Drosophila melanogaster: one gene and its partners. The protein of the gene in region 1 purifies or fractionates together with the protein of each later gene. This does not show direct contact. Each region holds a gene or a part of one and is shown in the gene's direction. Other genes may lie near its edges.

What was found.
Region 2: the proteins of r-l (region 1) and Synd purify together in Drosophila melanogaster (affinity purification with mass spectrometry, with the first as the bait; one large-scale study listed by BioGRID). This does not show direct contact.
Region 3: the proteins of r-l (region 1) and CG5568 purify together in Drosophila melanogaster (affinity purification with mass spectrometry, with the first as the bait; one large-scale study listed by BioGRID). This does not show direct contact.

The regions. Positions count from the first base shown.
Region 1 is NT_033777.3:21,070,057-21,075,183, reverse strand, and holds r-l (rudimentary-like), read left to right. Parts: upstream 1-1,864; 5' UTR 1,865-1,965; coding exon 1,966-2,118; intron 2,119-2,178; coding exon 2,179-2,695; intron 2,696-3,359; coding exon 3,360-4,171; 3' UTR 4,172-4,406; coding exon of another isoform or gene 4,407-4,460; 3' UTR 4,461-4,627; downstream 4,628-5,127. Other genes in the region: dmrt93B (doublesex-Mab related 93B), read right to left, coding at 923-1,177.
Region 2 is NT_033777.3:20,830,777-20,838,798, forward strand, and holds the start of Synd (syndapin), read left to right. Parts: upstream 1-2,022; 5' UTR 2,023-2,097; intron 2,098-3,620; exon of another isoform or gene 3,621-3,689; intron 3,690-4,448; 5' UTR 4,449-4,451; coding exon 4,452-4,555; intron 4,556-5,098; coding exon 5,099-5,208; intron 5,209-6,808; coding exon 6,809-7,146; intron 7,147-7,258; coding exon 7,259-7,485; intron 7,486-7,548; coding exon 7,549-7,669; intron 7,670-7,736; coding exon 7,737-7,847; intron 7,848-7,899; coding exon 7,900-8,022. Other genes in the region: CG31223 (uncharacterized protein), read left to right, coding at 412-440, 500-1,655.
Region 3 is NT_037436.4:5,869,558-5,874,018, forward strand, and holds CG5568 (uncharacterized protein), read left to right. Parts: upstream 1-1,943; 5' UTR 1,944-2,040; coding exon 2,041-2,208; intron 2,209-2,264; coding exon 2,265-2,776; intron 2,777-2,827; coding exon 2,828-3,785; 3' UTR 3,786-3,961; downstream 3,962-4,461. Other genes in the region: CG18586 (uncharacterized protein), read left to right, coding at 4,076-4,243, 4,301-4,461.

The DNA.
Region 1 (5,127 bases):
ACAGCGACGGCAGGCTGGAATATAATCTGCATTCCAATATAATATATGGACATAATAATCTATATTCTATTGCATTTGCTACTATAATAAACCGTGTTATTGAAAGTCTCCTAAGATGTTTGGATCAGCTATATATTCCGCGCACACCATTTTTGAACGACTTAAGTTAAACGTGCTATATGTTGGAAAGGTATTTCCTATTAACAGTTCTTTTACATCATTTGTAAAAAACAATTTTCGCAGAAATCCAAAATAATTAATGTTTCCAAAATGTTATTCAAAGTCACAAAACACGATATAAGAAAATGTCGGAGTTTTCGGTGCTATTGTTAATTTAAGCTCCCCTTGCTAATAGGTGTTTTTGTTTGTCGTCCCAGGTTAGTAAATTATAAATATAACAGTGACATTAATCAAGTTAAATTATAATCGAAAGGCTTAAATTGGGTTTCAAAGTTATACCTAGTAAAAATCGATCACGGAATCCATTGCGAACAATACAACATGAAACACAATTACGTTTATGCTTATACATTTATACATTAATATCCTGAAGTTATTTTAGAAAACTTTTGGCTTTTGAGAATATTTGATATGTCATTTTAAGTAAATGCTAATAAAGGGAATATGTTTTTACAAGAAGAAATTTTCTAAAGGACTGGGAATAAAGTCTCCGAATGTTAGAGCAATATATCTGGTCTGGATGGTTTGGATGTCTATGGATGGATCTAACCAGGCAATTTTCTGTATTCGAATGCACCGAATTTTTAAAAAGCTATTTTTGGGATAGCGATTTTACCATCCAGGATAGATGACATTAAAGTTAGCAAGTGGGCAGTAATCATAAAATGAGGATAGTAATGTCAATGATTGCCAATTAAGCAGAAAGGATTGCTTGTCATCGTGCATATAAATCCTAACTTACCTGAGCGGCCATGATCCGCTGCCTCTCAAAGATCAGGACACACTTGGCGCACTTGCAGTTCTTGTAGGTGCAGAGCTTCTTGTGACCCCGCAGCTCTGAAATGATCCCATGGTTCCGGCAGCGGGCGCACTTGGGCACCCGATTGGTGACCTTGGCCGGTGTGGGTTCAACTATTTTGGTGGCCTTGGGATTAGCCACAAGACGAGGACGCTTATTAGCCACTTCATCAGCAGGTTCACCACTTGAACTGGCCATCGCAACGCAGGCGAGAAATGGATTGAGAGAAAACCGATTTTTCGACTAAGAAGTTGCCGCTTTTGGAGCACAAATTTGCGACTTATTTGGAGACCAGCGAAAAGAAACTAAATTTTGGAAACACGCGCCAAAGGATCTGGAATTGTTTCAATGAATGGCGCAAACTTTGTTGACTTACGCAGGCGCTTTGGCTTTCATTTTGCAATATGAGCTTACAGGACTGTCATTGGTGGTTGCAAAATGACTAGACTCCTCCCCTTGAAGTTGCAGTCAAGGGTTTGTGGGCGGAGCCAAAGCTTTCAGATTACAAATGCTAAGTAGTGAACAATACAGCAATGCAGCGGACAAAATATTGTATATAATCCATCCATTCATTTCCTTGAAATTTCTTAAGACTTCTCAGAAACTAAAGGTTATATATTTTATGAATTTGGGAAATATTTCACATGCAAAATAGTTTATTTCAAAACCTTAACACTTATGCTACTTTGTTACCCTATAACTAATAATAAACGTTTATTAATTCGAAGCCAATGTTGATAAAATCTACGACATTTATAATAATTTGAACTTCGATAAGTTTGGCGGCATAGCGAAGTTAACCACCCAGGCGGCGCAACCAGAACTTGTACCTTAATTAGGGTGTTCGAAATGTGCCCCAATGTCACAGCAGATACGTGCACACTGGCAGCATGTTTAAAAAGCGTAGACTCCCAATTGGACGGTTCTTATTGGAGCCTAGCTAGCACGTGTGTGAAGAATTAAGATCGAGATTTAGAATTGCCAGCATGGTTGCCCAGAACTCCGACAAAATGCGGGCCCTGGCCCTGAAGCTCTTCGAGATCAATGCCTTCAAGTTCGGCGACTTCAAGATGAAAGTGGGCATAAATTCGCCGGTCTACTTCGACCTCCGAGTGATCGTCAGTTATCCGGATGTGATGGTCAGTATTTGGGATTAGTGCTCCATGTCAATGGCAGTAGCTAACTTGGTCTTCCCGCAGCAAACCGTATCCGACCTGCTGGTGGAACACATCAAGGACAAGCAGCTGAGCGCCAAACACGTGTGCGGTGTTCCCTACACGGCGCTCCCGCTGGCCACCATTGTGTCCGTGCAGCAGGGAACTCCCATGCTGGTGCGGCGCAAGGAGGCCAAGGCGTACGGCACCAAGAAGCTGGTCGAGGGCATCTTCAATGCTGGCGACACCTGTCTGATTGTCGAGGACGTGGTCACCTCCGGCTCCAGCATCCTGGACACGGTGCGGGATCTGCAAGGCGAGGGCATTGTGGTCACCGACGCCGTGGTCGTCGTAGACCGTGAGCAGGGCGGAGTGGCCAACATCGCCAAGCACGGCGTGCGGATGCACTCGCTCTTCACGCTCTCCTTTCTGCTGAACACACTTCACGAGGCCGGGCGCATCGAGAAGTCCACAGTGGAGGCGGTGGCCAAGTACATCGCCGCCGTGCAAATCAACAGCGATGGTACCTTCGTCGGCGGCGATAAGGGCGACGTTGTCAGAGGTGCGTATGCTCCAGATCCCCGTGATATCTGCCAGATAGATAGATGCATAGATAGATAATAAGTACATGACACTCGGCCAGCACATGGCCTCGAACAAATTCAATTAGGGAGCGCTCCAGTCGCGCTACTATAAAGTTATACAACCGCCATAAACGGCGGTAGGCCGATCTGGATTCCACTATCGGACCGGATCATTCCCGGGAATGCGGCACGTGATTCTGATTCAGGGCAGTGTCCGGTCCGCACTCAATTATGCCACCACGCTTATCAGCCCACTCGAGAGCCAGCCTGCTCCTTCAATCAAGCCCATCTTCTATAAATAATCACATTTCGTTTATGGCGCTTTGATGAGATGTATGGGAACCGGTTTGCTTTTTGTTTCCACCTGTAAAGTCACAGTATTCTAATCTCATCATAATCATCGTCTTTGCCTTTGGGGAGTAACTTTTGTATATACTCTTAAGATACTGTATAAACAATAGCCAAAATTGATTCCCAGTTGAAAAGAGTTATGTACTTTGGGATCGCCAAAGTGTGAAGCTATTGAAGAAAATTGGCATAGGTACAAAACAACCATATAGCGATAAGAAGAGGCGATAAGATAGGTCTACGTGCACGTTTCAAAATTGAAGTGTTAACTAATCACCATCACTTTCCCCGCAGCCAACGACTTGCAGCGCACTAAACTGACCTACGAGAATCGCGCCAATCTGGCTAAGAGCGCGGTGGCCAAGCGCCTCTTCAACCTGATAGCCAGCAAACAGACGAACCTCTGCTTGGCCGCCGACCTGACACACGCCGATGAGATCCTGGACGTGGCCGACAAGTGCGGTCCGTACATTTGCCTGCTGAAGACGCACGTAGACATTGTGGAGGATTTCAGTGATAAATTCATCGCTGACCTGCAAGCTCTGGCCCAGCGGCACAATTTCCTGCTGATGGAGGATCGCAAGTTTGCAGACATCGGCAACACGGTGTCCCTGCAGTACGGCAAGGGCATCTATAAGATTTCCAGTTGGGCAGATCTGGTCACGGCCCACACCTTACCTGGACGTAGTATTCTGCAGGGTCTGAAGGCGGGCCTTGGCGAAGGAGGAGCCGGCAAGGAACGCGGCGTCTTCCTGCTGGCGGAGATGTCTGCCAGCGGCAACCTGATCGACGCCAAGTACAAGGAGAACAGCAACAAGATCGCAACCGAGGGAGCCGATGTAGATTTCGTTGCCGGTGTGGTATGCCAATCCTCCGATGCCTTTGCCTTCCCCGGACTTCTGCAACTGACGCCCGGTGTGAAGATAGACGAGGGCGTGGACCAATTGGGCCAGCAGTACCAGAGTCCGGAGCATGTGGTCAAGGAGCGGGGTGCCGACATCGGAGTGGTGGGCAGGGGCATTCTGAAGGCCAGCAGCCCGAAGCAGGCGGCTCAGACGTACCGCGACCGCCTGTGGGCAGCCTACCAGGATCGAGTTGCCAAGTAGAAAACCCAAACAGCATTCCCCCTTAACGAATATTCCCCAATACCCATTCCCCCTTGGTTTCGGTTACCCTAGATAAGTGAAAAAATCTTCCAATTATTTACCGCGATTTTACAGTGCATTTATGAATTGAACATAGGCTATGAATCTTCCGCAAAACAGTTGGCAAACGATGCTTGCCTTAAAGTAAGAGTTACAACAAATAGAATGGTTAACAATCGATCCAACGAGGAAATCCTTAGTAGGAGGCCAGGCACTGCAAGACGTAGCTGTAGTCTCCGGAGAGGTCGTCCTGGAAAGGAGATCAGTGGATGGTGAATGTGACCCAGCTTTGCCGTTGAGTGTAAGCCAACTTTATTAGTTAATACAAGCACAAACTACGCATACGACTTTGATGCGCCATAATTTACAATAAAAAAAGACATGTATACAAAATAAAAATACGTAAAAATGTTAAATAATCGTTGAACGTTAGACGTTATTGCACAGAGGGAAAATACTAAGCGTTTTGTAGATTGGATTTTTAGAACACATCACAACTACTGTATATAGACCAACTCCATTTGTTCTTCGCTTTTGTTATACTTTTTTTTGGGGAAATGCAACGTTTTTTTGTTTTTGGCATTTTCTACTTGAACAGTGGGGTATTGCTCATAGATATTCGGATATTCCGGCTGCTTCCGTCTACCAAGCCGTAAGAGTGACCAGGACGTATCCAATATCGGTCTCGGCATCCTCCTGTTGTTGGTTCGTTTAAACGGGTAGAGAAAAGCGTGAAAAGAGCAGAGGGTCAGAGCATTAAACGCCTTTTACTTTGTATACATGGCTTATGGTTTGGTTAATTGCCGGAAGCTACTCCTCCAAGGGGTAATCAACTATATATCTACCTGATCAGCAAATGAATGTCTTTCAAATTTAACATAACATTTAAAGTTTTACATCTTGAAATTGTATGTACA
Region 2 (8,022 bases), 240 kb from region 1:
CTCTCATAAGTCTTTTTACATTTAAAGTACTTAAATAATATATTATTATTCTCTTTTCATTGATGTTCGTAGTTGATAGGTGTATTGTTTAGTTACAACGAATTTTTGTAAAAAGACTAACTAGTTAATATTTAAATATATTTTATCTTTAAGGTTCATATTTGATATACATAGTTATTTGCTAATAAATTCCTATGTAAAAAACAAGAGAAATTGCGTAATTCAAATTAAATCCAACTCTTATAATATCTAAGTCGTATAATTTGTTTACAAACAACTTTATTTTGTTTACAACAAAATAAAAACTTATCCATTTGAAAAGCCGTTACTTAACGAATCGTGGTTACGGTCACACTACAGCGATCAGCTGTTGGCGACCGCACTATTTTGTTTATTCCATTTTGTTTGACCATGTCGGAAGCCGATGAAAAGTGTCACTTGTAAGTAGTTAACAAGTAATATTAATTATAGCGGTTCAATATATATTAATCTCCTGCAGCTGTCGCGAGGTGTCCTTCAAGTACACCTGTCCCAAGTGCAATGCTTTGTATTGCAGCGTGGGATGCTACAAGTCCAAGGAGCACCTTAAATGTTCCGAGGCTTTCTACAAGTCCTGCATTCAGGACGAGCTGACCCAAAACACGGTAACGCAGGAAAGCCAGGAGGACATGCGGAAAATATACGACATACTGAAGAGGATGAGAGAAACGGACAGTGGTTTCAATCCCCAGGAATTTGATACAGATGGCCTGGAAAATAGTTTGGACTCGGATGGAGGCGAGGAAGGAGAGTCAGAAGAAGATGAGGCGGAAGAAAACGTCACCGAGGGGGACATACTGGATGAAGACCTGGAGGAAGACATTGCAACTCGACTGAAAGGCGTTGATATCAACGATGCGGATGAAGTTTGGAGCCGGTTAACTACAGAGGAGCAAGATGAGTTCCAGAAATTGATCACCAATGGAGATATCATGAAGCTTATGCCAGACTACAAGCCCTGGTGGATCAAGCCGAAGAACTCTAAGATTGTGATTATACCTACACCCGAAGAAGCTGCCAAGAAAGAGAGCCGTGTTCCCGAAATTTTCGGGAGCATTGCCAAATTCTCCGATATATGCAAGAAAACTCCGTCTCCGTGCCTGCACTACAATTTGTGGAACATACTAAGCGCCTACGCCTGTGTGGCTCGTTTCTTTGGCGGCGAACAGAGGACCAATGCCAGCGAGGCAGTGGCCCACCTTGTCAATCTCAGCGCCACCTTAAAGTACGGCACCAACTTCGAGGATGCTGAGGACGCTATTGTCTCCGTAGAGATGGAAGCCATCACCACGGGTAATGGTCCTGCCGGCGCGGCTGCAGTTGGAAGTGCTGCAGGAGGTGCCAATTTCCTCGTCGACAACAGGGAGCAGCTGCAGCAGGATGCCCGCCAGTTGATGGCTACGAAGGAGCACAAGTTGGCCGCCCTTAGTGATGTTCTCTATCTGCTGCAGCAGACGAAGGCAATCAGTCGCCGTAAGAATACCCAGGAAGCCGAGTTCCAGAAGCTGTTCGCTTTGGCCAGCGGAAGTGTGCAATTGGATCGCACCAAACTGGCGCAACTGGTTCGCAAAATCGAGTTTATGCTGTCGTATGTGGCGCGGGAAGAAGTCCTTTAAGCAATCCTCTAAAATAAACATTTCAAAATAATTCTGTTTTTATATTGTCCACAAAATTTGGAGCGGTATTGACTATAGATTGATTGTTATTTTATTGTTTTATTTTACTTGGAATTTAAATACAACTATGTATAATTAGTGTACACATTTTGATTGGAAACTTCAGTATTTTAAGGACTTAAAGAACAAATTGGTTTAAGTAAAACTTGACTTTGTGCTAGTACTGTAACTAGTACTTAAAAATATGTACAGATGTCTTAAAAATAAATGTATATCCTAAATACATTTCGGTATTTTTGTATTCGTATGGAGCGGTATTTTCAGCTAGCCGCGAGGTGTATTTGAATGGTCGCGAAACGGTCACACCTCACATAGTTTTTTTAGTTGGCGATTCCAGACACACACTCGAGTTGTAGTGCTTTTTTACGCTATTTTGTTATTGGTAGGTTGTCGCCCTGCTTCGGTATGAACAAGTGCCAGAGACCCAAAGCCAAGGATTATTTAACAACCATTTAAATGCAGTGCAGCTGCAGCAGCAGCAACAACAAAAGCGATCGCAATTTAGAACAGAACATTTCATGTAAACGCGTTTGGGTGTAGCGGAATTTCGCTTCCCGTGTGTTTGTGTGACCTAGCCGAGCGTGTGTGCGTGTCGGTGTGCGTCTGGCAACAACAAAATCCAATCGGCCAGCAAGTGCTCTTCGTACGCTTCGCCTGCTAAAAATTAGTGCACAGCGAAAGCATTTTAATAGCAGCGCCCCAAGAAAACCTTATGTAAGGTGTGCTGGAAAACGATGCAAATATTTACAGTAGAAACGGTCGAGACAAGTTCAATCTCAAAGATAAACGAGTTTCTTGGTTGTTTGGCGGAGGGGGATTTCTTATCGCCTAAGTGTGCGACGTGTTGGTTTAGATGTGCATATACGTATGTGTGTGTGTGTGTGTGGCGCGAGTGCTTGTGAGAGCGCCGTAAAGGTGCTTATCTATCTCCACAAATATGCGAAGTATGCGTCAACCTGTTTGTAAACTTTCTGCTGGCCATTTCCACACGCAAAACACGAAAATCGCACTGAGCCGCGATCCTATATTTATATTTATAGCCGATGATGGGGAAAATCCGTAAGCGCATCGTGAGTCGATGACGCCCAAATCAAGTCAACCCAAGATACAAGATTCCACATTCAGCAGACCCAACATCACCAATCTACACATGTGTGTAGGTGATTAAACTTCAGCAGAGGTTATTATACATATATAAATAAGAAAGCATGTATATAACCGGTCAATGCTGCTGATAACATAACCGTTATTCACCATACGGGTGTGTGCGAGTGGAACTCAAACTGACTGCATTGTTTACAAACAGCTGATGCAGGGAAACTCCACTCCACTGATAAGATACCAAGATTTCCCATCGCCGAGTATGAAAAAATTTAGCTCGCTACACAGAGAGAATTGAAATGTTAAATGTTGTCACACGTAAGGGTCTCCAATACGATGTACACTGCTGCTCTTAGGTTAGACGCACAATCGTTTTTTTTTTAACAAAATCGATCATTTATTTGCATGCTTTTTTTAATTGTCCAAAATGCTTTTCTTATCAAAGTTTTCTGTTGGTCATTGAATTAGATGCAGCTTAAATTTCTTCGTATTGCGTGGACAAGTATAAACTGTTGTATTGAAAAAATATAACAAATAAACGAATAAAGTGTTTTCGAGCTACATTTGAAGAAAAAATGGGTAAAGCTGCTGCTTATTGGAACGTCAAAAAGTAGACTTCCTACACTCGCAAGGATTGCCTAATCGGAACATTGCCAAACAGATAAATCGCAGCTGCAGAACTGTTGATAGATATTTGAAGGTTCCAGAGGCATATGGGAATAACTTCAAAGGAAAGAAAAAAGCACTATCAAAGCAAGCAGAACGCCAAATTGTTAGAATTGCTTCGAATTCTAATTTTCGAATTTGTCCGGAGTAAAAACAAGCGTATCAACTGTTCAGCGTACAATCAGAAATGCAGAACACCTGAAGCGTGTATGTATATTAAATTTCAAATTCAATTTTTGGGATCTCATTTATCTGGGTTACAAAATATGGGTGCATGAGAATTCCCTTGATAAGATGAAACTATTACGGTGGAAAATGTATGCTACACAGAAAGAAAATCTGTCAACATTATCTATTTATCTCAAAAAACAGAAATAATATTTGAAAGCGATACTAAAAATAATCGAATTCAAAATAAATTACAAATATTTATTTATCTTAATATGGTTAAAAATATGTTTATTTTTTAGTTTCGAAGAAAATTTTTTCAATTAAAATAAGACATTACCTTAATATTCCAATTTGAAAATAGTAAACCCATTGGCAGAACACCATGCAAAGTTGCACAATGAGTCAGGGGTGATAAGTCCAGTCTTTATCAATGGGGACACTCGGCGAAACCGTCAAGAAATATGGTCGTTGATAAGGCTCCAGTAATTAAAGTTCTGCCTGTTGCATCAATGTGAAGGAATTTCTTAATTGAACAAATTAGGCAAACAATAAATTTACTCAGAGCCCGTCTCGTTTGGGTTTACTATAGTATGTCGTTTAACAAACGATTTGTTGGTCTTAGCCAAACACTACAAAAATACAAGTTTGCGTATAAACAAAGAGCTTTTTGTTGTTGCTGCTGTGTGGAAGTTGTTTATGTCTGCAGTGTCTATTTACGTAACAAAACTCATATTTTACGATTATTGCGCTTAAGCCCGTCGTATGTGATTGATTAATATTGATTGGAATCCACAGGAAATGTCCCACCACAGCGATGATCAGCTCCTCCAGGCTGGAAGCGATTCCTTCTGGGAGCCCGGCAACTACAAACGCACCACCAAGCGGATCGAGGATGGTTACAAGTGAGTGGATAATCCCCAGGGAGTCTTGGTGCACAGAGAGATACTTTATTTTGCCATTATGTCAGTCGAATTCCTCGACATAATACAATTGGCTTAATATTCAAAAACATATTCGTAGCTGCAACCCAATCGTTTTTCAACGTTTCTGTCATACCAATTGGTATTGGTAACTGTATCTTTTCTGTGTGTTTAGTAGGTCATGCAGTGTCATCACATTGTTTTGAATGCAAACTTACAGCAATTCGTATTTATTTAAGGGAAAAAAATAAGAAAATATAAAGACCTTGGTATAAGCATTGGTCTTAGTATTAACTCAATTTGTTCTACTTATGTGGACATTTCATAAACTTTTTTAATGAGCTTTGATTTCTAGTGATACAATCAATCTTTTTAAGCAAATAGGTAATGGGTTCTCTCTGTGTATTTGCACTGGGCGACGCTGGGTCATTGCCAGCCGAATATATCGACACCCGAAGCCCAAACCCAAGACAAAAATTCAAACCGGTTTGCATTATTATGATTCTTGTCTCATTTCGCCCGCAGACTCTGCAATGACCTACAGCAACTGATTCAGGAGCGTGCCGACATCGAGAAGGGATATGCGAAAAGCCTGCGCACCTGGTCAAAGAAATGGGGTGAACTCATTGAGAAAGGTAAGTGAGCGGCAGGTGGGGATCTGGTGAGATATGGGGATGTGGGTGGCTGTGGCCTGTGGGATGAGACATCATCAGTCGTGGAAGCCTTCTGTTGGCCAACACATTCATTCACGAGCTAAAAGCCCAGTGGAGCATCAAGTGACCCGCTCACGTTGAATTCCCACCACTTATTTGGCCCACTGGCTGTTCTTATTTTCTACATTCTGTACATCATTCTGAGCATTGTTGTTGCCGTTGTGCGATAAGTGGCTTAAGCTATTAATGGTTTTTTTTACGTTTTTCGTTACCTCGTTTTTGTCGGTTGTATTCTGCAAAAGCTGCGCACTGTGGTTCAAAATCGCCACACCAATTTATTTAAGTATGTTAATGAGCGGGGCTGGCAAAGTGTTTGGATTAACTAACATAAACATATGCATACACTCTTCACACTCTTCATTCTAAACAATTAAAATTCGGCAGCGGAAATCTTAAGTTTGTACAAGAGAAAATAATAAATAAATAAAGAATCAAATATCTGTGGGTTTCTGCTTTATAGTAATATACAATTTTTATTTTTTGATATATAAGTTATATGGGTTCTTAAGGTTTTATTACCTTGCTATTGCCTCATATATGTACTTCTATAAGTACACACTACCAAATACTATTTTCGAAAACGGCGGTAATCATCGACTCACTCATTGTTTTCGGAATTGGGTCTTTGACCATTTTTAGCGGATGTCCGGCACAGTGTGCGCGCTTCTTCGTAAAATGAAATCGAGTACAGCGCTTGCGAAGTTGGAAACCGCTTTGCCCCATTGGTACTGTTTGCTTCTATTGCTGCTATTTTCTGTGACCGCCTCTGCACGGAATTCTCAGTGTCCACTTTCACAGTAACCAGCGATGGGCAATTGCAAAAGCGACTACCATCACTTCCTCCGCCTCCGAGTGCTCTTCGAGTTTTCTTATTTGCGAGGAATTTGCCTAGCCGCGTCTAGCCAAAGATACAGATACGAATACGTGTGCAGATACAAATACAGATACAGATACGTTCACAGTTACAGATACGGAGACTGGGAGGCAGAAGCGCTGGACAGTGGCCCATAACTCGGCACCAAAGCAAACCGGCACCAGAGCGTCGCTTGAAATGGTTTCAAAAATCAATGCGACGAGAAAATAGAACGAGTTATTTGTGTGCTAAGCGTCTCAATTTCTATATATCTGTTTGTGTGCCTTTTCACAGGGGGAATTGGGAATAGTGAGTCGTTAGGCAAACGAGTTCCGTGCACTGCCAATTATAAGACGAGCATCATATCAACTTGATTGCCGTGTGTTTGGGGTCCCAATAAAAAATGCCAAAAATGTACGATGTTCCTCCATCGCAGCACCCATACAAGCGCTTATTCTTCGGGCATTTTATATTTGCTATACCTATAGATATGGCTACATATGTATGTTTGTATATATCTTGCGGCTGCGGCTGATTAGATAAACCAAGTACCCGCGGGGCTCACGATGACGTCAGCCGCAAACAGCTCGACAGGGTGACACGCTTGTAATCTGTTGTTAATTGAGAAACGCTAAAAGAGATATATAACGAATGTCTGATTTGTTTCAGGCCCGGAATACGGAACCACGGAGGCAGCCTGGAAGGGCGTTCTGACGGAATCGGAACGCATCTCCGACGTTCACATGAAGATCAAGGACAATCTCTGCAACGATGTGAACAGCCAGATAAAGACGTGGCAGAAGGAGAACTACCACCACACGCTTATGCAGATCAAGGAGCGCAAGGACCTGGAGGATCTGTTCAAGAAGGCCCAGAAACCCTGGGCCAAGCTGCTGGCAAAGGTCGAGAAGGCCAAAGCGGACTACCATTCGGCCTGCAAGACGGAGCGCAGTGCTACCAATCAGGAACGCAATGCCAATGCCGATAGCTCGTTGTCGCCGGATCAGGTAAGGATCTTTTTTGTAAAAGCAATAGTTTAGTTATACATATGTATGTATAACTATTAATTTAATTTATTTATTAATTTTATGCTCACACCACTTCTCATTTCCTAATTAGGTGAAGAAAATGCACGATCGAGTGCAAAAGACCAAAGATCAAGTGCAAAAGTGCCGGGAAAAGTACGAGCAGGCGATTGCCGAAATCACCAAATACAATTCGGTGTACATCGAGGACATGACATCCGTGTTTGAAAAGTGCCAAACCTTTGAGAAGACGCGTTTGCAGTTCTTCAAAGAAATCCTGTTCAACGTGCACTCGTGCCTGGACCTCACAAAAGTGCAAAGGTGCGAATTGAATTTGATTTGAGTTTAACTGATCCATTTAAATAACTTTTACATGACTTACAGCCTGCCCCAAATCTACGAGGAGTTCTCCCACACGATCAACAATGCAGACCAGCAGAAAGACCTAAAATGGTGGTCGAACAATCATGGCATTAACATGGCCATGAATTGGCCATCATTTGTGGTGAGTTTTCTGTTTTTACTGAAGCCCAGTGTGGCCGCTAATGGAAGAACTTCCTATTTGTTGACAGGAATATACGGAGGAGTTCCGTGACATTGCCAAGGGCAACAAATCAAAAGAGGCACTGCCGGCAGCACCCATCACGCTCATCAACCAGCGACCTGTGGCCGAGGATGTGCACGTAAGCCAGTTGACTACCCAGTAGTTAATATCAGACTAAGCCAGCTCTTTAGCAGGAATACCCCCAGACAAACAGCCTGAAGAAGAACACCAGCACCTTGAGCAGTGTCAGCAGCAGAGCGAGTGTGAAGAGCGAAATAGCGACCACGCAATCCTCAGTCACCACATCGGAAGCC
Region 3 (4,461 bases), on another chromosome or scaffold:
TTTCAGAGTACATATGTCCATATATGAATTTATATGAATGAAGTATATAAAAAAAACAATATTTTAATTTAAAACAAAAACAAACTAAATGTGCTGACCAAAGTTGGGATTGAACCGCAACCACCAGCTGTCTAGACAGACACTTTAGACAGCTTGACTACAGACTTCCTTGCATATATTTGTTGTACACGTTTCTGACTGACATAGTTTAATAGCTATGAAACTCAGCTCGACCAGCAGATGGCGTTTCGTAGCTGCTGCGACTTCACACAATGTTCGCTAGATGTCGCCGATATAATTTTAGTACAAAGTAGAATAGCGCCATCATCATTACCGGCCAAATATGGAACTTTATAAAACGCAATAGCATACTTTTAGGCTATAAATATAAAAAAAATTACAAATAAATTACATTGGGTAAGAATTTTCTTGCTCCTGAACAGTTACTTAGCTCTTAAAGAGATGAGCAATATTGAAAAGCAGATTTTCGGTAATCCCTTAAGCAACACACTCTGCATCGTACCTTCGATAAGTTTTGGCCAGCGAAACTTGGCAATCCTTTGCGGATGCAATTTGGAATTAATTATGGCCCGCTTGCTTGCCACTTGCCACTTGGCCGGGAACTTTTTGGGGGGCGAGCGGAGAACGGCCGACGCAGCCGCAACTTCGGACCAGCTTGTGCTGAGGTTACAAATTCTCATATGTCGCCACACACACAGGACGAAATGTGATGGACAGAAGGACATTTGGGGGCGAGGAGGTTTGGGTGGATTGGAAGCAGTTGACACAAGAGCATTTAACGCTTCAGCACGTTTTCAATTCAATTTCCACATCTTGAAGGCTGCGCCAAGGAAGCCGAGGCGTTGGAGCGTGCGAAAACTTAAGCAGACGCACCGAGCATGACAAACGAGGCTAAGGACAATGCCGGCAGGATAATGATAATGAAAGCGAATCGTGGGCGCTGCAAGACGACGGGCGTGGCCGGATAAAAAACGGAAGCTAGTGCTGCTTAATGAAGATGCCTGCAGTGGCAGCCTTGCAATAAATCAACAAATTACGCGGCAAGGGCTGACTAGGGGATTGTATCTCGCAGATACCGAGATACTTGGCCATATTTGTGCGCAGAAACAATAAGTGAACCGCTTAAAAATGCATAAATCAAGGCCCAAAACGCAGCCAAGGGAACTGAAACAAAAGCGAAGCGAGAAGCAACTGTCAAAATGATAATCGCCAACAACTGTTGAGGCTGTCTTGGCCTTATGACAAATGTTGTCGTCTCGAAAAGGGGGTGTGTGTGTGTGTGTTTCCTAAAACACCACCCACCACGCACTGGCCGAAATCAATGTTTGAAAAACACATTTTACTTATTAGTTTCGCTATGTTTGCGGAGGACAGGGTCACTCAAAATAGCGCATCATAATGGGACAGAGCAGAACTGAACGATTTCGATTCCGATCCATCCATGTCGGTCATAATCGTAAAAACAAATGCAAAACGCAAAAGCCAAATTCCTGACAGCACATTCCCCCAATTGTCAACCCCTTAATCCACTTGTTTTCCAAAACCCATAATCCTCTCTTTGACGGCTGCCCATTATCATAATCTTATTGTTGGTGGTGGTGGAGATTCCAGTCCAGCCCAGCTGACCATTTGCTGAAACACTTTTCGACATCTTTTTGAGTATTTTACTATGGGATGCAATCTCAAAATCGGATTATCAGCGGTCATGAAAACAGTCTTGGCAATTAATCATTGCTTAAGTAAACATAAATAGTAAATATGATTAGTATGGCAACAGTGACGGAATAATTGATTGGTAGATGAAATAAATTCACTTATGAACAAAACTTTTAGTATCTCTTTCTTAGCTCAAAGAAATATCGATATAATAAGTCAGTTGATAATGGTGAGACCTAACTTGAAGCTTTAAATTCGAGTTCTTGCGTCTATCACTTTCGTTTTTATGGTATTACTATCACAGAAGTTAGAGAGATATATAAATTATAAGCCTTCATTTTAATTCTTAACGTATTATACAAAATGGGTGAATTGCAAGCGGGAAAATCGCCCTTTAAGACAAGAAACACCTTTGATGAAAACTTAAAGATCTGGAGTGGTGGCGAAAAACGCAGTTTATTCTCACCAGATTTGTCCATTGGAGAAATTATCTTTCAACAAATGGAGCGCAATGCTATGCTCACTGCCCAGGTACTTAATAAATTTACAAGAAACAATATTTATATTCATCGAAACAAAACCTTTAGATTTCAGTTACAGAAAACACTGAGCTGACCTGGAAAGACATCCAGACAAACGCGATGAAGGTGGCAAGTTATATGCGTAAACTGGGTCTGGAGCAAGGTGACTTTGTGGGAGTCATTGGCAGGTTGACCACTCACTTGACTGCTCTGGCCTATGCCTGTTTCTTTAATGGAACTCCTTATCATGCCCTACACACCGAATACGAACAATCTGCCATCGAGAGACTGTTCGGAATAACCAAGCCACGCTTAATCTTCTGTGATGGAGATGAGTTTGAGAAAGTTCAAGCAGCCACCAAAGGCCTTCAGGTACAAATAGTAACCATGCGTAATCACCCGGCAGGAATATTGAGAATTCAGGATATTTTAACCACTCCCGTGGAGATGAACTTTCGACCAGTGCGACTGAAAGACGGTACTGATCAACTACTGGCCATTCTTAGCTCTTCGGGAACATCCGGCCTTCCAAAGGCAGTCACCATTAGCAATAGTCACCAGATTATTGGGAGTTTTCTGTAAATATTACCACCTTAATTTTATACACCCATCTAATTTATTATTTTCAGACCCGTGGATAGCTCGATTATTCAGTATAACCCAAACACTTTGGATTGGGCATCAGGCATCACGATGACCATCAATGCAGCCGTGTTTAGCTTGACTAGTATAATTGAAGATTGTGACTTTGATCCTGCCAATTTGTGTGGCCTAATTGAGAAGTATCGAATATCGATGGTGTTCGTAAGTTCCTCGCAATTGGCGATGCTGTCCAATTGCCCGGAATTCTATGCGGCGGACCTATCATCCGTGAAGTATTTCTTTTACGGCGGATCAAACTGCTCACTGGAAGTCCAGAACAAAATTCGCAGCCGTCTAAGCAACGAATGTGTAAATTTCAGTTATACACTAACCGAGTTGAACAGCCCCGGATGCCTAAACTTCAACTTCGATGAGAAACCCAATTCAGTGGGTCGTCCGGTTAGAGGCATTCAAATCAAAATAGTCAACGAGCTGGGTGAAGCACAAGGACCCAATGTCGTGGGCGAGATATGCTTCAATAATGGTCAGAAATGGCCTGGTTACTACAAGAATCCGGAAGAAACGAAGAAGATGCAGGACTCGGAGAACTGGTTTCACACCGGGGACCTGGGCTACATGGACGAGGATGGATATTTGTTCATTATCGATCGCTTGAAGGATATGCTCAAGTATCAGACCATCATGTATTACCCCAGCGAGATTGAAAGTGTCATCGCTGAAATGCCAAATGTTGTGGAAGCTTGTGTCTTTGGCATTTGGGATCCCGTTTATGGAGATAAGGCAGCCGCTTCAGTGGTCAAGAAACAAGGAACCCAACTAGAGGCCCAGGATGTTGTGGAGTATGTGAGGAAACGTATACCTGCCAAATTTAAGCAGTTGAATGGAGGAGCTTTGATTGTGGATCACATTATTCAGAGTGGCAATAGAAAAGCAAACAGAGCGGCCACAAAAGCTGAGTTTTTACGAATTATGGAGAAGAATTAGTTTTGCATATTTAATTATTGTAATGTTTATGTTGTATTTGTATTTTTATTGTATTTGTATTTGTATTTGTTGTATTTATCGTAAGCTTTTTAAGAGGTTCGCCATCTTAGGCATTTTTTCATATTCGCCGAGTAAAATAATACCGAAACACATATCGATTACAAAATCGTTAATACAGCTGATCTTTCGTAATTATGTACATTATTGCTGTGAAATAGCATTGCTGATACGAGGGGTTATAATAGCATAATTTACTTAAAAACTAATAATCGACTCAGCATTTTCTTATAATGGCTGAAATGGAAGTAAAACAAAAACTATTGAACGCGATGTGCACTTATGATGATAAACTCAAGATCTGGAGTGGTCGTGAAGCACCAAGTTTATTTTCGCCAAACTTATCAATCGGAGAGATAATCTTTGGGGATATGGTAAACAATCCGAAACTCATTGCCCAGGTGAGTTTCTTTTCTCTCGAAATCAGAGAAATGTATAGATTTGCATTGAACCACCAGATCTCGATCACGGAGGACATCGTACTCACCCGCGAAGATCTTCATATGAATGCGATGCGAGTGGCTAGTTATATGAGGAATATGGGCTTGGGGCAAACTGATATAGTGGGGGTCATGGGCAGACACACGACTCACCAATCAGCTGTGGCATATGCATGCTT